Linked DNA regions of Arabidopsis thaliana. The protein of the gene in region 2 interacts with the protein of the main gene of each other region in a biochemical or structural test. Each region holds a gene or a part of one and is shown on either strand. Other genes may lie near its edges.

The links.
Region 1: the proteins of GSO1 (region 2) and AT4G22730 form a complex in vitro, tested with the Arabidopsis thaliana proteins (one large-scale study listed by BioGRID).

Annotation. Positions count from the first base shown.
Region 1 is NC_003075.7:11,938,003-11,946,025, reverse strand, and holds AT4G22730 (Leucine-rich repeat protein kinase family protein), read right to left. Parts: upstream 5,026-8,023; 5' UTR 4,643-5,025; coding exon 4,213-4,642; intron 4,125-4,212; coding exon 3,864-4,124; exon of another isoform or gene 3,777-3,863; coding exon 2,883-3,776; coding exon of another isoform or gene 2,878-2,882; intron 2,812-2,877; coding exon 2,330-2,811; 3' UTR 2,141-2,329; downstream 1-2,140. Other genes in the region: AT4G22740 (glycine-rich protein), read left to right, coding at 461-908, 1,000-1,253, 1,344-1,424, 1,509-1,584, 1,679-1,762, 1,849-1,976; AT4G22720 (Actin-like ATPase superfamily protein), read right to left, coding at 7,309-7,656, 7,761-7,916, 8,002-8,023.
Region 2 is NC_003075.7:10,881,120-10,890,516, reverse strand, and holds GSO1 (Leucine-rich repeat transmembrane protein kinase), read right to left. Parts: upstream 6,597-9,397; 5' UTR 6,298-6,596; coding exon 2,901-6,297; intron 2,825-2,900; coding exon 2,472-2,824; 3' UTR 2,247-2,471; downstream 1-2,246. Other genes in the region: AT4G20150 (excitatory amino acid transporter), read left to right, coding at 1,017-1,107, 1,228-1,365, 1,972-1,988; PTAC14 (plastid transcriptionally active 14), read right to left, coding at 8,820-8,941, 9,033-9,227, 9,312-9,397. UniProt on the Arabidopsis thaliana protein: Together with GSO2, receptor-like serine/threonine-kinase required during the development of the epidermal surface in embryos and cotyledons. In coordination with GSO2, regulates root growth through control of cell division and cell fate specification.

The DNA.
Region 1 (8,023 bases), 1.1 Mb from region 2:
CAAACTGCGACTCCTGTAGAAACACAGTTCGAGAAGATTCTTAAATTCTCTTGCTGCATAAAATGGCTTAAGAGAAAATTTCTCAATTCCAACAAATATCTCTCAGATTGTTGGGAGTCCGAATCGTTGTTCGAGGTATGAACTTCAAATTCGATTACGGTGAATTTTAATGTTTGATTTTGATTTCTGATTGAATTTCAATTTCGGGTTCTTCGTTAGGTCTAGTTCGCTTCAGGTCTCTGGTTTTTTCTTCATGATATTTACGTTCCTGAGTTGTTTGTGACTTGATTGTGATCGATTCATGTAATCTTCCTGATTTACTGTTGAAATTGCTTTGCAGTTAGAGAATTGTTATCTTGCTAGAGATTGTGTTGAATTGCAAATTTCAGATTTGTGTTTGATGATAGCGTTTTATGAATTCTGTTTTTGTTTTTGTATACTTTAGTTTTTATCAGGGAAGATGCAAGGAGGTGGTGGTAGAGATCCTTTTGGTGGTGGTTTTGGGGGTCCTTTTGGTGGTTTTGGAGGTGGCTCTTTTGGTGGTTTTGGAAGAGGTTCCTTTGGTGGATTTGGTGGCCCTAATGGTCCTCCGAGTCTCATGTCTAATTTTTTCGGAGGAAGAGATCCATTTGACGACCCTTTCTTCACTCAGCCTTTTGGTGGTGGCATGTTTCAATCCAACTTCTTTGGTCCCAGCATGAATCCTTTTGCAGAAATGCATCGTCTGCCACAGGGTTTTATTGAGAATAATCAGCCTCCAGGACCGAGTAGATCACGCGGACCGGTTATTGAAGAGATTGATTCAGATGATGAGAAAGAAGGAGAAGGTGATAAAGAGAAGAAAGGAAGTCTAGGGAAACATGGCAGGTCAAGCAGTGAGGCTGAAACTGAAGATGCTAGAGTGCGAGGTGATACCTTTTTTCTATTTCTACCTTGGTTTTAAAGTGGAATGAAATCGTTCTTTTCTATGGAACTGATTGTGTTTTATGTTCGCTGCAGAGAGAAGAAACCGGCAAATGCAAAGCATGAATGTAAATGCAGAGAGAAGGAACCGAGAAATGCAGAACATGAATGTGAATGCAGAGAGAAGGAACCCACAAATGCAGAACATGAATGTGAATGCTATGGTGAACAATGGACAGTGGCAACCTCAAACCGGTAGTTATAGTTTTCAGAGCTCGACTGTTACATACGGTGGTCAGAACGGCAACTACTATACTTCCTCAAAGACCAGAAGGACAGGAAGTGATGGGGTGAGTTACATTAGTAATGTAATTGCGTGTGTGTGAAAGTAAGAATGTTAGCTGATACTTTTTACTAAAACCGGTCTTACTGTGAAACAGTTAACTCTTGAAGAAAGCAGAGAAGCCAACACTGCAACGCGGGAAGCAGCGCATATGATTTCAAGAGGCCTTCATAACAAGGTACATATATACATACCTTGAGGATAATAAAATCTGTATCTTTTGTTGTTGGATCAGTTATAAGTTATGTTCTTATGCTTGCAGGGCCACACAGTTGCGCGTAAACTTAACTCAGATGGCCGTGTTGATACAACTCAGACCTTGCACAATTTGAATGAAGGTAACTAATACAATTCTCGTTAAGCTTCATAAATGTTCTATTGTGGATGAAATATCCTTATATACCGTTTGCTTTCAATTGCAAAATTCTGCAGATGAATTGGCTGGTTTTGAACAGTCTTGGAGTGGAAATGCTAGAAGGCAAATGCAGTTACCCAGTCGCTCTGGTTCATTTGGAAGTAAGCAGTCCTATTACACGGTCAAGTTTTCGTGTTGTACGTTTCTTTGTGAACAAAGATAAATCATCTCTTTGATGTTCTTGCAGGTGGTCTTGTGAACAGAGAGCAACCAATGTTACTTCCCTCGACTGATCCAAGTCCTTCTCATGCACGAGCAGAATCATCCCGAAGACCGAAAGCTGCAATGAATGTAAGAGGACATGGTACAAACTAATCTCCGCCTATATGTATGGTTTCGAAAATCTTTAGTGAATGTAACCAAAGACTAATTACTTTACTTAGGTTGCATCATCATTACTGTAACTGTATGATGACATGATTTGAGGGTTTTAAACACTGCTCCTTGATGATTATTATATATGTATCTTTTGTTACATTAATCAGTTCTTCGTTGCTTATAATCATATAGCTAACTGATTAAAGCTTCAATTCTCAGCTACAAATCTAAATAAAATATAAACCGGACCCGGTTCTTACTGGAGAGAACTAAAACAAACAAAACCAATTGGTGGGACACAGCTAACCGGAGAATCATACTTGCACAAAGATACTAATTAAAAAGCAGAGTCATTCACTCTTCATACAGTTTATATTCTCAAGCAATGTCTCTATATTAGGCCTATTGTTTGGTATCTCCTGTGTACAGCTTATCCCAATCCTCGCCATTGCAGTCGCCTCTGGTTTATCAAACTCTTCACGAAGATCTTCATCGATGAACCCGTTATGTTCTCCATTTTCAGCTGCATTTCTCAGTGAACTTGTAAGCATGAGCTTACCAGAGAGTATCTGGAGAATGATGACTCCAAAGGCGAAAATATCGGTTTTCTCGGTGAATTTTCCGGTTGTGACGTATTCCGGAGCTAAATATCCCATTGCTGCACTTGTTTTGAGTGCTGAGAAGACCATATCGTCTGCTAGAAGGTTGTGAAGACCCGAATCAGCGATTAACGGGTTAAATTGTTCATCAAGTAGGATTTTTTCGACAGAGATGTTTCGATGAACTATTGTAGGCTTCTTCTGTTGATCACTTCCATGTAAGTAAGCAATACCTGCAAGAAATTTGTGTATTAAATACATTTTGTTCCTTGAACTCAAAGAAGTGATATTTCAAATACTTAACCTTTTGCAATCCCTTTGATGATGGAGATTCTTGCAGACCAAGCAAGGACCAGATTAGTTTCGCGTTCTTGTAAGTCAAGAAAATTTGAAAGCTTTCCTTTTGAAGCAAAATCATAGATGAGGAAACACTCTCCTCTGCCTCTAGAACAGCAGAATCCACGTAGCTTCACTAAGTTTTCGTGTGACAACGAAGATAAAAGCTTTAAACCGTTCATGAATTCGACTTCTTCGTTCTTGCAACTGCTTATGTTGATGCTTCTGATAGCTACCGGAGAACCATCTCTGAGGACTCCTTTGAACACTGAGGTGAAGCTGTTTCTGCTCAATAGATTAGCTTCTGAGAAGCATTGGGTTGCTGATTCAATGTCTTCTAAGTTAAACCTGAAGCTACTATTTACAACAAAGAGATGAGGCTCTTGTGAAAACTCAGCTCCGTTTCTGCTATCACCTAGCGGATCCCATTCTTTAGTGTAGGCAAGACTCACTAAAGGCGATGCACGGAACTCTTTTTGTTGATCTGTGCTTAGTCTTCCCTCGGAAAACTCAGGTGTGTTACTGATCTTTTGCTTCCTTCTTCTGTAGCGAAAGAAGGTCAATATACCAGCACCAATCAATGTTATAGTGACGGTAATCACGCTTGAAATCAAAGCAACTTGTGGGAGTTTCGATGAGGATTTCTTGCAATGTGTTTGGTTGCAATGCTTTTGGAGATATACAGACTCGGGAATGTTGTGAAGAGCTGATTTATCAGTGTCTATTTCACCAGGAGGCTGCTTAAATTGTTCGATATTATTCGCATTATCGAAAGCAGAACAAGCTCTCAAAGAAGGAAAATCGATACCACATAACCCGGTGTTGTTCTCAAACTGGAAGCTCCCATTCAACTTCTTAAGACCTTTGAAGAAACATAACGAAGAAAAAACCGAGTCAAGAAACAGAGAGATAAGCTCTTACAAAGACGTTTCAAGAATCATTAACTCACCAGGAGGAACAAAGCCAGAGAGAGTATTGTTGCGCAAGTCAAGAGTGTCCAACTGAGGAATGTTGGCTAGGGTTTTTGGGATTAAACCTAACAGATTGTTGAAGCTTAAATCAAGCCTGCTTAACATACTCAAGTTTCCTAAAGTCCAAGGAACCTCTCCGGTTAGTTTGTTGTGTTGCAGAGACAACACATTAAGTTTCTTCAAGGATCCAATGTTCTTTGGTATCTTCCCTGTTAAACTGTTGCAACAAAGATCCATAACTGCAACAAAAGACACCACAAAACATTCAAATGGAAGATCGAGTAAACATTCAAGTGAAAGATCTGTGAAACATTATAAGATGCTAACCTTGCAAGCCAGCCATGGAGCCGATATCTGCCGGAATCTCACCAGAGAAGTTATTAACATTGAGATAAAGATCTGATAATTCAGTAAGATTTGTGATCTCTTGAGGTATCTCTCCAGAGAGACTATTGTAATGTAAGTAAAGACCTGACAAACATTTGAGCTCTGCAACCGCCGGAGACAATTTTCCGACCAAACGTTTCCCTTGTAATGATATGTTTGCGACTTTTAGATGCTGGTTACATGCAATTCCTTCGAAAGATCCGTCGCATGGATCGCCGTTAAACGTCCATGAACGGAGAAGCTTGTTTTCAGGGTCAAGCGACGATTTCAGCTCCATTAAAGCCTTCAGCTCTGCATTTCCTCGAACATTCGACGGAGTTGCAAGAAAGATTGAGAGAAGGATCAGTAACGTGGCACATAAGGTAACCATTCTTGAATTTTCTTGTCTCTCTGTTTAGAAATTACTGAGCTTTAGCTCATTTATCTATCTCTCTTATAGAGCAGAATAATCTGTTTTATAGAGCAGAGTAATAAAGGAACGAAATTTATAGAGCAGAGTACTCTGTTTTGTACTGGATTGGGAGCTATCTCTTTGTTAAACGAAGATAGTAACTTTTAGAGAGGGACCAATTTTGTGTCTGTTTCTCGGATTTGGAAAACTGTAACCTTCCACTCTCGTGAATGAAAAGTTATTCTGCAGAATTTTCTTGTTTTGGAGAGAAGAAGAGAAAGAAGCAGAACCTCAGCTGGTGAAAAGTGGGAAGACAACACAACGCATTGAATACACTGTCTGTGTGAGACAGAGACGTATACTGCTTTTGAAAAGGAAAGCCAAATCTTGATGACTTTTTTGGTGATTTTTAACAGTTAATGTTCACATTTGTTAGTGGGGATGTGATGTTATTAGGTGTTTGTTTATTTATTATGTCTATTGCTCGAGATCTTGGTTTATTTCACTTTCTTTGCATTGGTTTATGATTTAGACAGACTTTAAAACATTTTTAGTATATTTCTTCTATATCACAAATTCTATATAAAACAAAAATATGCTTTTTGGATAACCATTTTAGAAACAAACAGAACTCGGGCAAATCGCAAAATCATTTAGCTATTTGATCATAACTTAAGTTTACGAATAAAATCCATAGAACTTAATATCTATGTGTGGTGGTTATTATAAATGGTAAAATGGGTAAAAGTGTAGAGCGGCTTTAATGTGAGAAAACGATCTAACGAGTGAAGTTTATTTAAGTTCATGTTTGGCGATTGAGCACTTTGGCTTATAGTTCATAACTTTTGGAATCATTTCGAAACTTGGATCATCCTCTTCTTCTTTGTCAACACTCCACCTTCCCATTCCCTGCATGTGCCACGTGCACGTGTCTACTCCTGCATACACATACACATACACATATTCATATTTAGTCTCTTAAAACAAGTCTTTGGATGAGAATAGTACTGATTAAAGAATGTTTTTTTTAGATCCATATTTCTAATAGTGGTCTAATATGATTAGTTGATTATATATACTATAAAATATAGTATACTATAAAATATAGTATATATGGTCTAAATATAGTATTTAGTTAATGATGATATCGAGATTTAGAGGACAATTATTCCACTAACTCTCTTTTCTTTTCCTCTAATTATTTGTAGGCTATAAAGTAAATTGATAAAAGATTAGTTATAGAAATGCTATTTGTTGGTACATGTATTCTAACCTAATTGGGTTTAAGAACAAGACAGTTTGACTATAAGCAGAATCCAATGTGGACTGAAACATTCATCTTAATTAGATATTCTTAGATATACTCTTTGATTATATACAAACTTTTATCATATGTCCTATTATACTGATGAATCTTACTATGTGGACAAAACTTAATTCACACAATGAATAAAATTGGTGAAAATGATAACAAAAAACAAATTAGTGAAGTAATTAAGCACGTTAAAACTAAAAAACGAGACTAGTAGATTTGACGACGACGATCGAGTTCAATGTGAAAGCATAAAACCTTATCAACGGCTATAATTCAGATCTTGATTACTTCAAGGTTTTTTAGATGTATACAATAGTTTTAACAAAAAAAAAGATGTATACAATAGCAATCAGACAACTTTGATTTATCTTCAATCATTCGTCTTTTATTTTTTGGCATTTCAAGATGGAAGGAAGACTTTTGAAATACTTTTATCTTTTCGTTAACTACTTTGACCTTTTACTTGATTGTTTTACTAATAACTTTTGTCATTTTCTCCTTTTTCCCACGTCTTTTTGAATCTATATGATGTCTTTTAAAACTTTTGAAAATTTTATATTTAGTATGCATGCTTACTTACATAGTTACATGTATGAATGTTTTATCTAGAACTCTAGTCTCTAGAAGGATATCCACATTATGCTACAAAAGTAATATAAATATCGACCAAAATTTGTGTAGCCTATGTGTCAAGGTTCTGATTTACACTTGAAAATACGCAAATGAGTTCTAGATGATGGAAAAATGATACACTATATCTCGAATGTTTTTACAAAATTATTAGATAGAATTTATCTCTACGTCAAATTGAAATTTTTGACAACTTGTTGTTGCCTTTACAATTTTTATTAGCAAGATCAAGATTAGATCATTATGTATAAATTCTATTTACTCACTTTTCGTTTAATACGCAATGCCATAGAAGTGTCTTGTGATTAATTGAACCATCTCATACGTTCTACATTAAAAAGTTCTTACTTTTTACTTTTTAGTAGTGCTGTATTTTCACAGTTGTTTTTGTATGATTAAGGAAGACTAATGCACTAATCTCTCCACCATTCTCGGTAGAAATGTCGACTTTGAGATATCATATTTTTATTAAAGCAATAAAACAAATAGCGAAATGCAACACAAGAAACATTTGAACTTTTTACAAAGCTCACTTTGAAATTTGAAAGTGTTATTACATTCAAACCAAAAGATATCAATCATATAATTTGGCTAATAAAACACATTTAAAAGTCTTAACTACTTAGCAAAAACCAATTTATCGAGTAGAGAGAGATTCAATCTCAAATTTGATGAAAAATGAACAAAAATGGGGACAGACTCAATTCGCTGCAACTTTCTTATCCCCAAGTAGTACAGCTTCTTTCTCTCGCCACACCGCATGAACCTCGTCTGTGCGAAATCGTTGTGTAAAGGTAGAGTCTTCGATCGGTGTTTCAATACCATTAACAAACGCGAGTAGACCTGTGTAAGCGATCATAGCTCCATTATCGATGCAGTAACGGTCATCTGTTGCAAACAGCTTACCATCACGTTCTGAGCACATAGTCCTCATCATTTCCTGCAAACGCTCGTTACACCCAACACCGCCAACTATCAAAACGTCTTTCTTGTCACAATGCGCCATCGCTCTTTCTGTGATCTCAACCAACATCGCAAACACCGTCTCCTGCAAGATCAACAAACATGAATTCATGATATTACTCTTAAACAGTCCAAAATTTGCATTCATGTGACAAAATTCATCAGTTAAGAACCAAGTGATAGCCTTACTTGAAGGGAATAACACAAGTCTGCTGGTGTACACTCGTTATTCTTGAGCTTCTCCTCTGCAGTAGTTTCGATATAACTCAAGATTCCGCTGAACGATACATCCATACCTTTAACAGCATACGGAAGATCAATAAAGTTTTCTCCTTTCTTAGCAAGCTAGTAACAACACCAAAAACCGTGTTAACATTGTTCTTGAATCTTTCAAGAATTCAAATTTACTTTACTTTCAAATGAAATCTACCTGTTCAATGTTATAACCAGGG
Region 2 (9,397 bases):
GGGGAGAAGAGAGACAGTGTCAAACAAAGAGGGAGAGCATAATTATGGCATTCTCTAAATTAAAGTTGACTTATTAAATTGATACATGAATACACTCTCTATTTTTTTTTCACATTTACTGATAAGTGATAACATTAGAAGCACTTTTACATTGTTCTTTTCTTTGACTCGAATGGATTTTTTTAAAATTAATTAAAACCATTGGATATGCTTCATTGGTTTGTATTCAATCCTTTGGGATTTTAGTGTTATGTCAAAGATTTTGAGTTATCTAACTTTTTACAACAAATTCATTAATTATATGTAACAGAATCTGTGCATATCCCATGATTATGAAATGAAATCTACATAAGATTAACCATGCATATAATGCTATTTCTAGAAAAATTACTATAAAAATACCAAATGAAGTTCCATTGATTCATTGTACTATATATGGTAACTTAAAGTAATAAATTTACAGTCTTTGACTCATGTAATTAGTTAAAATATAATATGGTAGCTATTTTTATAGCCTATCAGAATCAAAATAAATTTAGATTCTTTGACTAATCTGACGGGAAAGGTTAAAAAAAAACAGATAGAGAGTTTTGGCGTAAATTACACCGGAGTCAAACTTTGTTCCAATTTAAAACGAACTTAACTAATTTAATTCTATCCAAAAGATATGTGTATCTTGCTTAAGTATAGAAGATAATTCACCTAAATTTTAGCATTTGGTAGTTTTTAACTTTCTGTTAATGTTAAAAAAAAAAAAAAAAAAGTAGTGCTTCTTTTTTTACTGTCTAAACTTACTAACATTTTCCAAAACAACTAAACATAGCAGATAGCGTTCCATATCATTTATGTAACCCAAGGTCTAGGCCCAAGCCCAAGCCCATATGAGGGCGATACACTGAAATGGCAATGTATGTGGGGAAAACATTGTGAAGCTAAGTCCGAGTAGTCACTTAACCGGAGATCGGAGACTCATCGTTGCAACAACAACAAATTTCAGAAGATCCGAAGACGAAACGATGCCTATAAGTGCGACAATGGTCGGAGCTTTGCTGGGTCTCGGTACCCAGATGTACTCCAACGCCCTCCGCAAGCTCCCTTATATGCGTCGTAAGTCGTCCACCAATCGAAAAATGCTACAACAACCCTAATTTTTGTTTTCTGATTTCGATTGTTGAGAAAATGCGATTCCGATTCATTGTGTTCTGATTGGATATTAATATATGTTAGATCCGTGGGAGCATGTGGTGGGTATGGGACTTGGTGCTGTGTTTGCGAACCAGCTCGTGAAATGGGATGTGAAGCTTAAGGAAGATCTTGATGTGATGCTCGCTAAGGCTAGAGCTGCTAATGAGCGCCGTTACTTTGGTATATATTATCCTCTTCTTGTTTTTGGTTTATCAGCTTCTCAAATTTTGCTTTTTTTTAGAAAAATTGGTGACGTTTTTGGTGTATGAAATGGTTGCAATGGTAATTGAATTCTCCGCAATGAAACTTCGCTCAAGGTTTAATCATTTGGAAGTTTTTCAATTGAGCGAATCTCTATGCAGGCTTAGCTTGTTGCAAATCTGTTTAGTCAGGCACTCTTATAAAAGTTAAGACAGTTTGAGCAATACAATTATTCCTTTGAACATGATCTCAATGAGTCTGGAAAGATAGATACTTTCGACTAGTTCTTTGGTTCTAGAGTTAGATAGGTTGCAAGGTGCCAGTACATATAAACTAGATGCGAATTTGAAGGGAACCACATATGTAAACGTGTCTCGTTTTAGGTAGTAAGTTGCTAAGCTTTCGCAAACTCTTCTTTGATAAATCTTGTGACTTATGATAAGTTCAAGAATCTCTGTTTGTTTATCACCATTGGCTATTGCATATTTGCGAGGGACTGGCAGAATTTGGTGTATTACATTTCTTGTTTTGTTGGATTGAATAACTTGGAATATTCAAACTTTTCCTTCTGTTTTTGTAATGCAGATGAAGATCGGGATTAATTTTGCGTGATCTTTGAAGTCTTCAGAAAAGAAATATCTTCCCCTGAACTCATCTCAAGTGCTTGTTTTGTCTGATCTTTCCTGTATAAGCGTTTCTTCTCCTTCTCTTTGACTTCAGCTCTGGAGTTCTTTTCATTCACTGTTTTCGAATATGAACCTAAAGATTTGTGTTTTCACAATCTGAATCTGTTTGTATCTGGTTAATAATGGCGAAATGATAAACCTTGCAATCTACCTTCTGTTATGAGAATAGAGTTTCAGAATCAGAATCAGAATCATTCTGTTTAAAATTTGGTTTAAGTTGTATTACAAGTACATGCAAAAGACAATAAGTGTTTTTGTAGCAGATGGATCAAGTTCGAAACAATCTTTGTACTGAAAGAAACCATGTCATCTATACAAAGCAGAAACAGAATTTCAGAAGAAAAAATTTAAAGTTGGCAGTTTTCATGTCTCCAAAGACATTTGCAGGTGTCAGTTTTTTTACAGCTTCTTATAACCGGCCGTTCTGTTGTTGTAGACATGGAGAAGACTATCACAAGCTTGCCTAGAAGATGGTCTCTCTTGGGGAGAAGTTTTTGTGCACTGAAGTGCAATCTCAAGCACCTGACAAGCTGCGTCTTCCTCAAATGGCAGAAGTGGCTTAAGCTTTGGATCTATGAGTTTATCTCTCGCAGAACCCGCTACTTCAAGATGTGTTTCAACCCATCTCACCATGTCCATCTCTGCACCAAACACTGAGTCGGTTGGCATTTTCCCAGTCACAATCTCCATCAACACGATCCCCATACTGTAAACGTCGCTCTTCTCAGTCGCCTTCAACGAGTAAGCATACTCTAGACACACAATTTCAAATCTTTAGATATTAAAACAGTGAATATGCAAGAAAGCTAAGAAAGAGAAGATGAGTACCTGGAGCAATGTAGCCATAAGAGCATGCAAACCAGGTATTTGAATCTGTGTTGGTATCACAGTTCTCAGTTAAGACCTTGGCAAGACCGAAATCTCCTAAATGCGCTTCCATGTTTGAATCGAGGAGCACATTACTGGATTTGATATCACGGTGAACGATAGGAGGAACACAGTCATGATGAAGGTACTCTACTCCTTGAGCCAATCCTACTGCTATTCTCAATCTTGCTTCCCAGTCTAAAAGCTTCTTCTTTTTTTCGAGCACGGGTTTGTCCTCATGAAGCCAATCCCAGATGCTTCCGTTCTTCATGTACTCATATATCAACAGATTCAATCCTTCTGACTTGCTGCTGCAGTAACCCATTAGCTTAACCAGATGCCTATGCCTGATTCTTCCAAGCGTCTTAACTTCTCTGCTGAAGCTCTTGTTTGACATGAGATCATCCTTCCAGAGAATCTTTTTCACTGCAACAGTCTCACCATTTTCAAGCTCCGCCTTGTAAACCTTCCCAGAGCCTCCTGATCCAATCATGAACTCCTCGCTTAGATTATGTGTAGCTTCCATGATGTCCTCCCACCTGATATCGGACTTTGAAGCTCCGTTTCGAAAGAGAGGCTTGTGTGTAGCTTGTGAAGAAGAGCTTGACGATGTGTACGCAGTGCTTCCATGACCCACTTTCTTGAAGAAATCATGCCTTTGTTTGAAGAAGAGAGCGATTACAAGTATCATCAAGCCAATCGCCGTCAATGCTGAGATTGCTGATATTATCACAACTGATCTGGCACTAAGACCTTGTTGCTTGTTATTACTTCTAACTCTGTTGCAGCGACTTAGTGGGCTTCCACAAAGACCTGTGTTGCCTAAAAAGGAATCAGCTGGCCATCTTGAGAACTGTTTCTTGAGCTTCCCTCCGAGGTTATTGAAAGAAACATTGAGATATCCCAAACTCTTCATATCCCCAACCGAGCCAGGAACTTCCCCTGTAAGCTGATTGTGAGAAAGATCAAGTGTTTCCAGCTTTGATAATGTCCCAATTGTCGAAGGTATATCTCCAGTGAAGTTATTGTAGCTGAGGTCTAAAGCACTTTGAAGATCCTGAAGCTGTCCAATCTCAACTGGGATTTCTCCTGTTAAGCTGTTTCTTGATAACCGAAGCTCATACAGCTTGCTGAGCTTTCCCATAGCTTGAGGAAGTGAACCTGAAAACTGGTTCTTATCAAGGTTAAGGACATTGAGAGCTCCCAAGTTACCAATCTCTTGTGGAATCGACCCATTAAGCGAATTTCCATCAAGAGACAACACAAGCAGCTTTGTACAGTTGAACAGTTCAGTAGGTAAAGACTCAACAAACTGATTCGAAGAAAGCTTGAGCTCTCCTAACTGTGAAAGTTTTCCAAGCCATGGAGGTATAGGACCTGATAGAAAATTGTTATTGAGATCGATGTGTGTCAGTTTCTTGCACAAGACGAGCTGTAGCGGAATGGTTCCTGTGAGAGCGTTGCTTGACATATCTAACAAGGACAGCTCGCGGATTTTCCCCAACGTCCAAGGGATTTTTCCTGTCAATTGATTCTTGCCTAACCTGAGACGATCAAGATTTTGAGAGTTTCCTAGCTCCAGGGGGATTTCATCTTCAAACCCGTTGTTGGTGACATCGAATGAGAGATATGAGCTCGAACCACATAATGGATGAATCGTACCATTGAGCCTGTTGTGAGAGAGATTGATTCTGGTGAGGTTCCTCAGACTGATAAGTGAATCAGGAAGATTTCCTTGAAGAGAATTGTTGTAAAGCATCAACTGTTCCAAGCCCTTTAAGAACCCGAAGGATGAAGGAATTGATCCCGAGAGCTGATTATCCGCCAAATCCAAGATGTTCAGTTGATGACAGTTACCTAAACTGGCGGGAAGTCCACCCACAAGCTCGTTCTGTCTCAAGTGAAGCAAGTTAAGCTCTTTTAATCTTCCTATTGAAGGAGGTATCTCTCCTTCGAAATGATTCCCGAACATATCAATCATCTTCAAGCTTGTGCAGTTTCCAATCTCCTGTGGGATTTCCCCTGAGAAACGATTCTCATACAGAAACAGAACCTCTAATTTTCTGAGTGCGCTGATCTCCTTCGGTAACTTGCCTTCCAAGTTATTGTGATACAACACAAGCCACTGTAGATTAGTGAGGTTTGATATCGAAGGAGATAACGTACCCTCCAAGGTATTATTGTGGAGATAAAGATCTGTGAGTTCGACTAGCTCAAACAATGCTTCAGGGATCGAGCCAGCGAGAGAATTGTTCGACAAATCAAGCTGCTTAAGCGATTGACATTTGCTTAATTCCACAGGGATTTCACCAGAAAGCTGAGTTCCAGACAAAACCAGTTGCTCCAAGTTTGTGTTGTTAGAACAAATGCTCTTTGGTAATGAACCAGAGAGATGATTGTTTGCTAGAACCAAATCAAGAAGCTGACTCATGTTCCAGAATTCTTCAGGTATCTCTCCGGTAAGATTATTCGCCGATAAATCAAGAGTTTGAAGATTTCCCAGATCAGCCAAACTCTTGGGGATAAGACCTTGAAGTTGATTTGCCATCAAGCTAAGATACTGGAGTTGGCTCATTTCACCTAATTGACTCGGTATCTCTCCGGTGAGACTGTTGTTCGCCAGGTTGAGTATTTCGAGGTTTTCAAGGCGTCCAAGCTCCGCCGGTATCGTCCCGTTGAGCATGTTCTCCGCCGCAGTGAACACAGTGAGATCAGAGCAGTTTCCTAACTCAGCCGGAATCGGTCCTTCGAGATAGTTATCTTGCAATATCAACGACTGAACTCGGACGAGACGACCGAGCTGACTCGGTATAGGACCGGTGAGTCTACAAGAAGCCAGAGCAAGCATCTGGAGATTCACCAAGTTCCCTAACGTCTCCGGGATATCTCCAACAAGCTCATTGTCTCCGATCCTTAGCGACCGGATATTAACGAGGGAGCCGAGCTGGCTCGGAATCTCGCCGGTGAGTTGGTTAGAAAAGAGAAACAGAGACTCCAAGGAAGTAAGGTTGGAGAGAGCAGTTGGGATGGGACCAACTAGATTGTTGGAAGATAGATCAAGGTGGATTAGGTTGTCAAACCGGCCAAACCAAGGTGAAATTGAACCGGTTAATCCTAAACCGGTAAGGTTTAGAGCAATTACACGAAATAAACCGGTATTGTCGCATGTGACTCCGGTCCAAGAACAGTAGTTGATGTTATCAGAGTTCCATTGTCGGAGAGGATCGTCTTCTTGTGGATTCGTGACCAAAGATTTCTTCACCTCGAGAAGAGTCTGAAGATCGTTGTTGATGATACCCGGTTGACCTAAACCGGAAAAACAGAGGATGAAGAGGAGGAGAAGAACTAGTGGTTGCATGTTTTCTTCTTCGTCGTCTTATGGTTTGGTTTACTGAGGAAGAAGAATGGAGGTTTTATGGCATTTGTGTGATTCTTGTTGTAGAGAATGATGAAGAGGGAGAAAGATGATTGGTCATTAGAAACGGTGCATAGGGACTCTATCTCTGAGTTGGAGAAGAGTAAATGCAGAGAGAACAAAGTTTCTTTCTCTCTCTCTTTTTTGTGTTTCTTTTTTGCTATTTCACTGTTTTATTGAGAGATCTAGAGAGAGAGGAGAGAGGGGTCAAAGAGAGGTCAGAGGAGAGATGTGGGGAAATGGAATGGGAAGGCTCGTAGAATGAAAATGTTTCGGCTTTTAGCCTTTTATCAATCAATGGAGGGGCAAAGGTCAACGGTCGTACTATGATGTTCGTGTGTACATTTATTCGTCCGTGGAGACATGTTATATAATTAAAACAGTGCCTAAACTTTGACATAACATTTGGTCTTCTTAGGAAAGAAAAAAAAAAAAACATTTGGTCTTCTTTAGAAACCACAGAATATATAAATAAATAGTGGAGTAGTACACTTTACATTCACATCAAACTTGTAAAATTATAAGCTTATAATAAGTACATTCTATTTCGTTTGATCAATTAACAACTTATGACATTTAGATTCGTGGATGTTGTTCCACTATATTCTAATTAAATTCTGTATTGAAGTTCCGATCGATTCATATCTCTTGGACTCTAACGACTTGGAGTTAAGTTAGAAAAGATTTAGAGGATTCCACAAATGATAAATGATCCCAACAAGTTTTCTCATTTCATACTTCCATTATCTATTTATTATCTATCAAACACATGATTACTACTCTGAATGTATAGAGTGTCAACTCTACACGATTCCTTAATTTTTCTTTTTAGTGTCTTTGTGATACGCAATCATTTGATTTATCAATTTCGTGAGAAGTTAGAGTTCTTTGTTCTCCTATTTCTTTTCGACAAGTTTAGTTGTTTAATTTTATCAAAAAGAAAAGAAAAGTTTAGTTGTTTATTAGTAATAGACCTTTTATTAGTTATATAAAGGAAAAGTAACAATAATGAATAATAGAAAATAAAATGGTGATGCATGGCTTTGACCTTGGACAAGGAGAAAAGAGTGGTTGAGAAAATGACTTGGTTGAAGTATATATTTTTGGCTTTGGTTATGTCACAAAGTGTGTTAGCTTCTCATCACTTCAACCTTTTCACGACAAGGAGAGCAGTTGTGGTATGATCGTACATTAACATGGCATCATATGATTATGCCCTATATTTTATTACCAAGTCAAACATAATTCTTATTAAAATTTGCAAACATAATTTTTTCATCCATCTTTTTCTTTATTACCCAAATAAGTTCGGTGATACTTTCCCAATTTATATGTTCATCGAAGTAAAGAATCAACTCGTGAGTTTTGAATAATTTCGTGTGTTTTTTGCCTTCAAAAATTGAGGTTAATAATAGATATAATATGTTGTTGTCGATTCGGAATCTAGCTTGAATTTAATCACACCTATCTAATTATAGGAAAAAAGGAATAATACATCGAATAATATTGTCATTTTCATAAATTGTTATTATTATATAAATTTTGGTTGACTGTAATAACGCTAGATCGAATCAAGTTTACGTACAACAACTTGTTCGATAATTGATAATCTATAATTAAAAATGTTAATATTCTACTGAACGAGATTCTAAATCCAAAAGAATGAGACAAAGGAATTATCTTCGATCCACCAAAAAGATCAAGATGCTTATTTTTTTTTATTTTTTTTTGTCTATTGTTTGGTTGATTTATACTTTAATTAATCTTAAATTCAAAGGAATAATTTCATTATGCATGGCAAGAATTATGAAACGCATAGTGGTCTTACTTCAAAAATAAAATATTCAACATATTGAAGATAATTATTAAGAATCAAGTTAGTCAATGTAAAGTATCAAATAAGTAGCCAAAGGTAAGAAATAGATTGCTTATGGTTCTGTATAACTCAGAGTAGGTTTGTTTGGTTTGGACCGTAACTTTTTTTGAAAATAGTAATGTTAGACAAAGAGTAGAAGAAACGCAATATGATTTGATTGATTAGTGTAACCACAAGGTTAATAAATAGTATAAGTAATAATCAATTATTGAGACTAATCAACATTATAGTTCGGCGTAAGAGACACAATTACCCTAAAACATTTGAGACACTAATCATGCTTAGGGACTAAAAACATGAACATGAATTAATCAAAAGAGAAAAAAAAAACACAGATGATTCCAAAGCGTTTGTTGGCTAATCAAACTCATTAAAGCAGCCAAGAAAAGAAGAGGTTATGATTTGTTTGTGATTGCGATTAAAACAAACTAACACACTTAGTCTAACTGTTCCATACAAATACATAACCTTACACTAAACAAAAAAAAAAACAGGAACCTTTCAATTACATGGTGCAGTTTCTAAGTAGCTCAAGGGAGTGAGCACCAAGTATGAATCTCACTCAGCTCATAATTATTTTTTGCTTGAATCAATAGAGTAACCGTTCTTGATAGATGTCAAGTGCCTTGATAATTTTTCCGATGAACATCTTTCTGTGCATTCTATACTTAACCGCTGTTGCAAATGTTGTCCTTGCTTCTGACATTGAATCTGTCACAACAACAAGAGGGAAAGCTTAAGTTTTAGTATATGAGCGATAATAGATAATAACACATTGGTGTATATATCTTTAGTGTAATACCTAGCAACTTCTGGTCTTGCTCTGCTGTTGTGGGATATTCCGCAAGCATCTTTCGACATTCATCTTGCAATTCTTTAACTGCTTTTCTTTCCGCACTCGGTATTGGAGGAAGATCTATGTCTGACCAAGTAGGTAATGTTCTTGCTGCAGCGATAACTGCTCCATCAACAAAAGTATCGCCCCTCGATAACTCGCCTGCCACAGATTTAGGTAACATTGGTGCTCATTTCTCCATCTTTTGTCAAGGAATAGAGAGGAAACAGAAGAAAAGGAACTTACTGTCATGGTAATATTCTTCAGGAAGACCATAAATATTGAAGACCGATAAAAAGGAATTTAAATGGATGCGAGAATCTCCAGAGAAC